3 linked regions of the Mus musculus genome follow. The main gene of each other region encodes a partner of the protein of the gene in region 2 in a complex. Links are inferred from orthologs where the notes say so. Each region holds a gene or a part of one and is shown on either strand. Other genes may lie near its edges. The genes, in order: E2f4, Mybl2 and Lin52.

Region 1 (2,757 bases), on a different chromosome or scaffold from region 2:
TTTAATGGGTTAACAGGCAATAGACCATGCACGATATAATACCAACCTACCTGGCAATGTGGCAATGTGCCTCCTGGTACAGTAGTGGCGTAACTTATGAGGGCAACCAACCCCTTTCCTTGTCTTTAAGGCCAGCTCCACAGGAAGTAATTCCTACCAGACTGATACTGTAAACCTTGTCAAACACCATGGCTAGAGAGATTGTTGACCCTAGGGGGAACTTACTGCTGTTGCTTTGTTAAATGCACACATTACCAAACTGCCTCCTCAATTTTTATGCTTCTTTGTTGCTTAGAGAAAATGGCAGGAGTCAATGCAGAAACTCATAACTGATAAACTGCTGAGATTATGTTGGGCGCTCTGCCTAAAGTTCAGGGAATATTGCTAAAGAGAGTAAGAAAGATTGTACAAGCCACAGGATGGGGAAGAGCATTGTGAAAGACCATCTTCTGGATTTAACATGGTCACTGTACTCATGAACTCACAAGCCTCTATGGTTACCTACACAAGATCAAGCCATCCGACTAGCTGGGAAAGAGGGAGTCATTGTCTTTGGATCTGTGCATACATGTAGTGCTCACTAGAATGAGAACATGAGAATGGAAGAGGAAGGAAGTACTAGGAGGGCAAAGGGGGTCATTTTGTAAATGGTCAAAATATAGAGAGCTGGCTGTGGCACACATCTTTTAATCCCACAATCCCCGAGGCAGAGGCCAGCCTGGTCTACACAGCAAGTTCCAGGACAACCACAGCTACACAGAGACCCTGTCTCAGACAAAAAAAAAAAAAAAAAGCATAAATATATGAAATTACTGATAGGTAGATATAGATTAGATAAAATGTTCTAAAGGATGACTATAAATTAAAATTAAAATGGCATATAGTTTTCTGGTGTGCTGAGGATCTAAGAGGGATGAGAAGAGATGCTTCGCAGACTTTACCTAACCCATGTAAAGTGGGTAGCCGAGGGATCCAGAACTGAGAGGACACAGAGACGTCTTAAGCCTGGTGGTGACTAGAGCCAGCTGATAGAGTCCACTCAGAACTTGAAAGGCAAAGTGGAAGCAGGATGGTTAAGTTCAGAGGTGCAGAAGACAGATGCAAGACATAGAAGACTGGGTAACAGAGCTACACTATGTAGAGGCTGAAACCTACTATCAGCTCCCCAGAGCTGAGGCCCACCCCAGATATAAAATGGTAAGTACCAATAACTAAGGAACTGTCAGATGCCAGTGAGGTAGAAAAGCCAAGAGCTGACAGTAAAGACAAAGGAGGAAAGAGCATCAGCAGAGACCAAGAAAGCACCAGATCTCGACCTTAGAAACCTGCTGGGCCAGGCACTACACCAACAGCAGCAGAGCTACCCCACTGTGGTACGGCCTAATTTTAAAGGCATCCACACAAAGAAAGGAAAACAGGGGCTGGTGAGATGGCTCAGTGGGTAAGAGTACCCGACTGCTCTTCCAAAGGTCCAGTGTTCAAGTCCCAGCAACCACATGGTGGCTAACAACCATCCGTAACAAGATCTGACGCCCTCTTCTGGTGTGTCTGAAGACAGCTACAGTGTACTTACATATAATAAATAAATCTTTAAAAAAAAAAAAAAGGAAAACAGAAAGGTGAGGTGAATACAAAGAGTAGCAAATCTCAATTAGTGATGTTCCAAGTGGCAGCAGAGGGAAATGGAGTCCCAGGAAGGAGCAAGAGGCACCAGCACTGACCCTGAGATTAGACATCCTTCTCTGGCTGGCAGAGAGCTGAGCTTAGCAGGAAAGGAACTCCCAACTCCAAGTGTTTGATACAACAATGGGCTAGGGCTAGACTCTCCCTGCTAGCCCCCACCTCTCAGTAAGTACTCACCGCCTGTGGGGTCTGCTTTGATGGGCTCAAAGGAGGTAGAAGGGTTGGGTCCAGATGAACTGCTGCTGCTGCTACTGCTGCTGCTGCTGCTGCTGCTACTACTATCCAGCAGTGCAGAGGACTGCAGAGGCCGAGTGTCCAGTGCTGTCAGGCCCAGTGGGAGTGAGCTGACTTCACCACTGTCCTTGTTCTCAGTTCCAGGGCTACCACTCACTGCAACCACATCCCAAACCACACAGTCAGGAACTGGATTGTACAGCTGCCATAGGCTAGATCCTATGGCCAGGACAACCAGTGTGGTAACCAAACCGAAGGAGACTTAGACTAGTTACCAAGAAACATCTAGAAAAGATCACTATAGAACACAAGTCTTGGAGGAGGGAGACTCATGGGGTCACCAGGATCCGTCAGACACTGTCCAATTTGGGATAAACTGCCCTAGTAATGTTGCCTATAGAGTCAAAGCTTCCTTGTTAGAAAGGGCATATTCAGGGCTGGAGAGATGGCTCAGTGGTTAAGAGCACTGACTGCTCTTCCGGAGGTCCTGAGTTCAAATCCCAGCAACCACATGGTGGCTCACAACCATGCCCTCTTCTGATGTGTCTGAAGTCAGCTACAGTGTACTTATGTATAATAATAAATGAAAAGAGTAATTTAAAGGGGCACATTCACTGTGACACCAGGGAAAGCTCAGTGGGGACTCAAGGACTTCTAATTCTTAGCACAGCACGCCATCACACAGAAAGCTTCTTGTGGAGTCCAAAAAAAAAAAAAAACCAAAACCAACCAACCAAACAAACAAACAAAAACCAAAACACAAAACCCCATCACACCTTACCACTGTCTCACCTGCAATCTCAGATGTCTGGCATGCCACCTCTGAGACTTGAGTGCTGC
Region 2 (3,429 bases):
AAGTGAGCAAGTCCCCAGTCTTACAGGCTTCCCTGGTCAAACGCTTTTCTAGAAGGACACAGGACACAACCCTACTTGCAAGATATGTTTAGCAATTCATATCCTTCATTCATGCTCCCCCGACCCCACTATTCCCTGTACTGGGGCCAGGGCTGGAGGAAACTCCAATCCCAAGTCCAAGAGAGCGCAGCCTGGCCTACAGAAGGGTTTCTTGTGAAGCTCCGTCCCTCAGGCAGAAGGGACAAATAGGTACCATACATATCTGTATCTACGGTCTAGGATGGCCTCCAGGCTCCCTCGGTATCTCAAGTACCTGTCATACAGGCGTTCAAAGCATCCCAGTCCTATCTCCCCTCCCCTAAACTCCAGCCCCCCCCCCCCCCCCCCAGCAACACACACACCCTGGCCTCCCCGCAGCTCCTCATCCTTAGGACACTGCCATGCTCACCATGGTTTCTCTTTCTTCACCTGCCATTCTCCCCACACTCACACTCCCCTGGCTACATCTAGCCTGCTGTTCATGTTCAGTCAGCTTTCTCTCTCTGCCCTGGACTCCAGATGCCCCTCAGGGCTGCTCTCATTAAGTACTAAAAACCTCCCCCTTAACTATATCACAGAACGGCCATGTCACCAGTTTAGTGAAACCAGGCCACATCCCATCAGCTGCAAGGGACCAGCCTCACAGCATTTTGCTCTTGTTTGTTTGTTTTTGGAGACAGGGTTTCTCTGTGTAGTCCTGGCTGTCCTGGAACTCACTCTGTAGACCAGGCTGGCCTTGAACTCAGAAATCCGCCTGCCTCTTCCTTCCAAGTGCTGGGTTTAAAAAGGGATGCGCCACCATTGCCCGGCGCATCTGGCTCTTAAAGGCAGTGACTTCTATGCCCAGAAGAGCAAGGCTGACCTACAGACCAGACAGACAGCAGCCACTTGGGGTTATGCCTCAGCCATAGGATGTGCTTGGGGGCACACATGGTTGACCTCAGTGAGAAGGACGAGCCCATGGCAGTCTGGCATATAACTCCTGCCAAATAAAACCCAGGAAAGACATTAGGACTGCTTAGTGAGCTCAAGCCAGGTGCCTAGGCCCAGCACCTCCCACCAATCTTCCCAACACTGAGCGCAGCTGGTGGACACTCCACCTCAAGTGTCCCCTCCATGACTAGACAGCTCCAAAGGCAGAAGGTTCCTGAAGACCTGTGAGGCCGGCGGCCACTGTCAGCCCCTTACCAAGGACAGGGGTTTGGGCATGGTAGAGGACATCAGCTTCCCATCTTCATCCATAATGTCGAGAGCCAGAGACTTGCGGACCTTCTTGATAGGGCTTCGCCGCAGCTGAGGGTTCGGAAGACAAATGACGTCGGGATCGGCAGTCAGGCCCCCAGGGCCAGCACCTCAGTGACTACAGTCAGAGTCAGGACTTTGTAAGTGCCGCTCTCAAAGCCTAGCTAGCAGCTCTTGCTCCAGGGATACGGAAAGACCAGGAGCCCTCAGCTACATCAGACTCTGACCCAGGAGGGACCTACCCTGCCAGACACTGGGATTCTTCCTAGCCTCACTGCCTAGCTTTAACCATCATCCCTCCTTAGAGCAGTCTAGAATAAAGCACAGAAACACGGAGAGAGTCCGAGCCCCCACCTCAGTGACTACAGTCAGAGTCAGGACTTTGTAAGTGCCGCTCTCAAAGCCTAGCTAGCAGCTCTTGCTCCAGGGATACGGAAAGACCAGGAGCCCTCAGCTACATCAGACTCTGACCCAGGAGGGACCTACCCTGCCAGACACTGGGATTCTTCCTAGCCTCACTGCCTAGCTTTAACCATCATCCCTCCTTAGAGCAGTCTAGAATAAAGCACAGAAACACGGAGAGAGTCCGAGCGCCACCTGTGGCTACAAGTGCTAGATAGAGACAGTACAACGGGAAGGAAGCTCACCTGAGCCCGGGGCCTGCACCGCAGCCTGTCAGTCACGCCTCACTCAATGACACCCTGTGCTACTTTCATGGCCGAGCCACCCACCCTGACTACCTCCTGAAAGAAACCCCTAGGATCTGTCCTGTCTACTGCCTCTCATTCCACAGGGATTCAGACGGCCATGAAGCGTGTGCTGTATGCCTTTCTCCATCCTCTCGCCCGACCACGACGACAGCCGCCACACACAGTCGGGCTCACTTCAGGATGCCCAGTCACAATGCTGGATGAAGGGCTGCATCATTCAAAGTACGGCAGGACCCAGGTGAGAAGCCAGGATGTAAGGCATCTCATGGGTCCTCCTGCCTTCCCTCAGGTCTGACTTTCTATGCAGACTGCCCGTGCGGAGGTAAGGGTCTCAAGCCCACAGCCACTTACCCCAGGCTTTCTCTTCTGCTTCTCGGGCCTCATGTCATCCTCAATGATGAGCTCCATGCCGGCCTCAGAACGGAGCACCTCCTTCAAGTCCTCCTCCAGGTGCGGAGTCTGCGGCTGTGGACAGAGGCGAGGGTGAGCGCAGGAGGCCCGCTCGGGCGGCATAGGTCTAAGAGAGCCCACGAGAGCATGATGATCTCACGTGCATTGCTCATAACCATTAACTGCCCTGCCTTAGACAAATGGATGAAGCCTACTTAACCCTGAAGGTCTATGTATGCACAGAGCAGCTCTGCACCCATGGTCCTGGGCAGCAGTTATGTCCAGAATAGAAACTCAGGCTCACACCGAGAGCCCGACCCACACCATGGCAGTCATTAAGAGTCCAGATTCTTGAGCCCACACTTATGCCAAGTCCCGGCTAGTCAAGTGTGGAGGCAGAAGCATCCCTTGAACCCAGGAATTTTGGACGGCACCTTCTATATGACCTCAGCACCTGTGATGCCAAGGCAGAGGAATGAGCCCTGGGCAAGTTCAGGGACATTCCAGGTGTGTTGGTTAGTTTTCCATTAACTTGATACAAACTAGAGCCATCTCCCAATGAGACTGGGCTATAGGCAAATCTGTGGGGGTGCTTTCTTCACTAGAGACTGATATGGGTGGGCCCAGTGTAGGCTGTGTCCCGCTTGGGCAGATGGTCCAGGAGTATATAAGAAAGCAACTGAGCAAGCCATATAGAGCAAGCAAGTATACAACACTCCTCCACGGCCTCTGCATCAGATTCCTGCCCTGGGTTCCCTCGGTGACGGACTTTAACTGTAAGCTGTAATAAACCCAATCGTTCCTACGTTGTTTTTGGTCACAATGATTTTTTTTTTACCATAACACCAAATCCTGGGCTTCGTAGACAAAAGTTCTATCAAAAAACTAAAGAACCGGGCTGGAGAGGTGGCTCAGCGGTTAAGAGTACTGACTGCTCTTCCTGAGGTCCTGAGTTCAATTCCCAGCAACCACGTGGTGGCTCACAACCATCCGATGTCCTCTTCTGGTGTGTCTGAAGATAGCTACAGTGTACTCATATACAAAAAAT
Region 3 (3,653 bases), on a different chromosome or scaffold from region 2:
TAAAGATTTGAGCCTTTTACCCAAGAGCAAACTTTGGATAAACTTCCACAGACAGAAGTTGTTTTACTTACACTTTTGAAAGAAGCTGCAAATTCAGCGACACCTGGTACTAAAAAAGAAAAAAAAGTTACTCATGTAGGAAGCATTTGTGTTTAGGCACTGAGGACTTAAATAATAAAGAAATGCTGGGTGATGGTGGTGGTGCACACCTTTAATCCCAGCACTCAGGAGGCTGACACAGGGGGATCTCTGTGAGTTCAAGGCCACTCTGGGCTATAGAGCAAGTTCCAGGCCAGCCATGGCTACACAAAGAAACCTTGTCTGAAAAGAACAAAACACAAACGGACAAACCAAAAACCTAAAAAACTGAAAACCAAATCTTGCCTTCAAGTAGCTTACACTCTAGAAAAAGACAGAGCATATATTATCAGCATCACTTAAGCACTTCAGAAAAGCATCAGGTGTCACAGGAAGACAAGAACAAACAAATAAGCTCTCATGGGAGCGAAGGGGCGGAAGAAGCTTCTCTGAGAAACCACTGCCTCCCGCTTTAAAGGGCCAGGACTGGGCCTGAGAACAGTAAGCTATCTCTCGCCTCAGTTTTAACCCCCTCTCCAGAGCTAGCGATTTAGACCAAGGATAGAGTGCTTTTCTAGCATGCACATGACCTTGGTTTGAACCCCAGGGCTACTAATAAATAAGTAATATAAATAAGCTAAACATTCTTTTCAGTTGTCCTGTTTGGTTTATTTATGCAAATGCCTCATGGATACTACCACATTAAAAAGCAAAGCAGCTAAAATACAAAGGTAGAGGGAAATAATGTTCAATTCTGTTAACTAAGAAATACAAGCTGGGGCTCAGTGGAGAGAGGCACTTGCCACCAAGCCAACAACCTGAACTGTAGAGTCTCAGGCTTATGGTAAAAGGCCAGAACTGACTCGGACCAGCTGTCCTCTGATTTCCACACATGCGTCATGGCACGTGGCTGCTTCCCTCAGCCCAATAATGAATATAATTTAACCTAAAAGAAATGCAAGTTAAACATAACAATGAGGAGTGACACTGGCTAGTGAGAAAATGGGCAGTCATCCTCTTCTACATACAGGATAGATATGCAAGGATACTCACTGATACACTGCCTGTGAAATACAAATGAGGTAAGTTAGGTTTCCAAATAGAATGTGAATATAGAAGCTAGAATATACCTGTCCACTGTAATATACATAAAACAATGAAGCAGACCTACAAAGATCAACATGGAACGATCCATCAAATTTCCTGTTGAAATAAGTTAAGCTGAAAGCTCTATACATATTACATCATCACTATGAAAACCAAAAATTCCTGTGTGATATACATGCAGACAATACATAACATACATATGTATATGCTTATCTGTACACGTATAAAAAAGTCCAAACAAGTCTGTAATAAAATTACAAACAATATTTAACTATTTCACTAAAGGAGATGAACAAATGCTTTGTGCATCTCAGTATTGTCTGAAATTCAGATATATCGTTTTAAAACTATAATTTTGTTTAAAAGCTCATTATCACTTCTTGCAATGTTCTGAAAAGTTAAACCACTAAGTCCCTATTTTTACTGTACATCAATCTCTTCTCTTTAAACCAAAATAAAAATTTTAGTCATCAGATCCATGATAACACTATAAAATTCTCCCAAGGGAGCGCCGGCTCTCCTGCGTCAATTCTACTATGAGAAAAGTCATAACTCACGCTGTTCTGGCCAGAGATCTGGTGAGGCACGGTCAAGTTTCTCAAAACTTAGCAAAGATGCTTCCAAATCCGTCCCTAGAACCAAACACCAAGATGGGATGAGAAATGCATTCATTCTCATTTTATTATATTTCAATCTCAAAGAACATAGCCTGAAACACTCAATTAGAAGTTCAGAGGTCTCAACTATTGATTCCCTGAAGCCCTATTGGGGCATGATGTAATACAAATAAATTTGATTCTCCCTCATCAAAACTCAGACTTCCACTTTATTAAAATAAGTGTTTAAGAAAGTCAGGTCTCAAAAGAAAAAAACAAACAAACAAACAAAAAAAAAAAAAAAGAAAAGAAAAAGAAAAAGAAAGTCAGGGCTCAGCCAGGCGGGGTGGCATACGCCTTTAATCCCAGCACTCGGGAGGCAGAGGCAGGAGGATTTCTGAGTTCAAGGCCAGCCTGGTCTACAAAGTGAGCTCCAGGACAGCCAGGGCTATACAAAGAATCCCTGTCTCGAAAAACCAAAAAAAAAAAAAAAAAAAAAAAAAGAAAGAAAGAAAGAAAGAAAGAAAGTAAGTAAGTAAGTAAATCAGGGCTCAGTGGTTAAGAGCATGGATTGCTCTTCCAGAGGTCCTATGTTCAATCCGCAGCACCTCATGCAGCTAACAACTGTCCATAATTCCAATTAGCATACATGTAGTACAAAGAAATACATGCAATCAAAATACCTATACACATAAACTTTTTTTTAAATGGGTATCAGGTGGACATGGTGATTGACACATATAATCCCAGCATTTGGGAGACTAAGGCAGGAGCATTGAGAGACCAGCCCAGACTACAGCAAAACCCCTTGTAAAGAAGAGTGTCAGCAAACCCACCTGTCTTCCTACACTCTTCAACTTGTCTCCAGTTACAGTCAGCTAAGTGTCACTGCTCTCAACAAAGATAATCTTGACTGTAGACCACTGTCTTCAGCTTTAATAAGCACTTCAGACAGTCTTCTTGTAGCAGAAGTTTCTATTTTAGACTCAGAGCCAACAAGCAAGCCTGATCTAGAATTTATCTCCCTTTTCACTTATTAAAAGAGCACTTTGCTGTGTGATGGTGGTGAATGACTTTAATCCCAGCACAAGGGAGGCAGAAGCAGGTAGATCTTTGAGTTTGAGGCCAGCCTGTACACAAAGTAAGACCCAGGACAGCCAGGGCTACATAGTGAAACCCTGTCTCATAAAAATAAGTAAACAAATGAGAGAAAGAGCGAAACTATACTTAATGTTAACCAAGTCTCCACATGTATGTACACACATGCACCAGTATCCATATGCATGTCTGAGTGCAGACACACACAGAAACATGCAAACTCTCCCTTTAAACTCATAGCCTCCCTCCTGGGTATCCCGTTGTCCTTACTCTCACACCTCACACTCTGTGTGTGTGTGTGCATGCACACATGCATATATGGATGTAATAAGTCTACAAATAGGCATATGACAATAAACACCAAAAAGGATGCTAAATGTTTTTATTTTGTCTATTAGTGGCTCACTAAGAAGCTAGCTGGCCAGCATGCTCTCAGGATCCAGCTGTTTCTGGGCATACCCTCCCCACACCCACAGAGCTGGTGGTACAACCATGCCTGGCTTCCAACTCAGGTCCTCATATTTGCAAAGCTAGCTGCTTACCTACAATGTATCATCTCCCCAGGACCTACACCCTCTAACCTATAAAACTCTTAGTTCAGTCCCTAGTGCATTGAAACTACTGTTATCAAGCTTCCCTTTGCCAGACCGTCCCACTTCTATGTGTCCCTGCTATGACCTCCCACAGCATGAGATGCTTTCATGAAACTGCTGCGCTTGTTTCCTCTTAGTGACTCCTCCTTCACTCTGCTCCACTCAGATCTCAGACTGTGCT

The links.
Region 1: Mybl2 (region 2) and E2f4 share a complex: the UniProt entries of both Homo sapiens proteins name them as parts of the DREAM complex. The link is inferred for Mus musculus from reciprocal best matches to the Homo sapiens genes MYBL2 and E2F4.
Region 3: the proteins of Mybl2 (region 2) and Lin52 are in contact, whole or in part, in a crystal structure (PDB 6C48), measured with the Homo sapiens proteins. The link is inferred for Mus musculus from reciprocal best matches to the Homo sapiens genes MYBL2 and LIN52. Residues at the interface, in NP_002457.1 of Homo sapiens: Trp663, Val666, Ala667, Gly669, Thr671, Asp673, Gln674, Phe676, Lys680, Ala681, Gln683, Leu684; in NP_001019845.2 of Homo sapiens: Gln84, Ala87, Tyr88, Gly91, Leu92, Glu94, Ser95, Met98, Thr99, Lys102, Phe103, Leu107, Glu108, Lys109.

The regions. Positions count from the first base shown.
Region 1 is NC_000074.6:105,300,569-105,303,325, reverse strand, and holds part of E2f4 (transcription factor E2F4), read right to left. Parts: coding exon 2,710-2,757; intron 2,074-2,709; coding exon 1,861-2,073; intron 1-1,860. UniProt on the Homo sapiens protein: Transcription activator that binds DNA cooperatively with DP proteins through the E2 recognition site, 5'-TTTC[CG]CGC-3' found in the promoter region of a number of genes whose products are involved in cell cycle regulation or in DNA replication.
Region 2 is NC_000068.7:163,078,621-163,082,049, reverse strand, and holds part of Mybl2 (myb-related protein B), read right to left. Parts: intron 2,457-3,429; coding exon 2,343-2,456; intron 1,333-2,342; coding exon 1,228-1,332; intron 1-1,227. UniProt on the Homo sapiens protein: Transcription factor involved in the regulation of cell survival, proliferation, and differentiation. Transactivates the expression of the CLU gene.
Region 3 is NC_000078.6:84,454,405-84,458,057, reverse strand, and holds part of Lin52 (protein lin-52 homolog), read right to left. Parts: intron 1,818-3,653; coding exon 1,743-1,817; intron 110-1,742; coding exon 72-109; intron 1-71.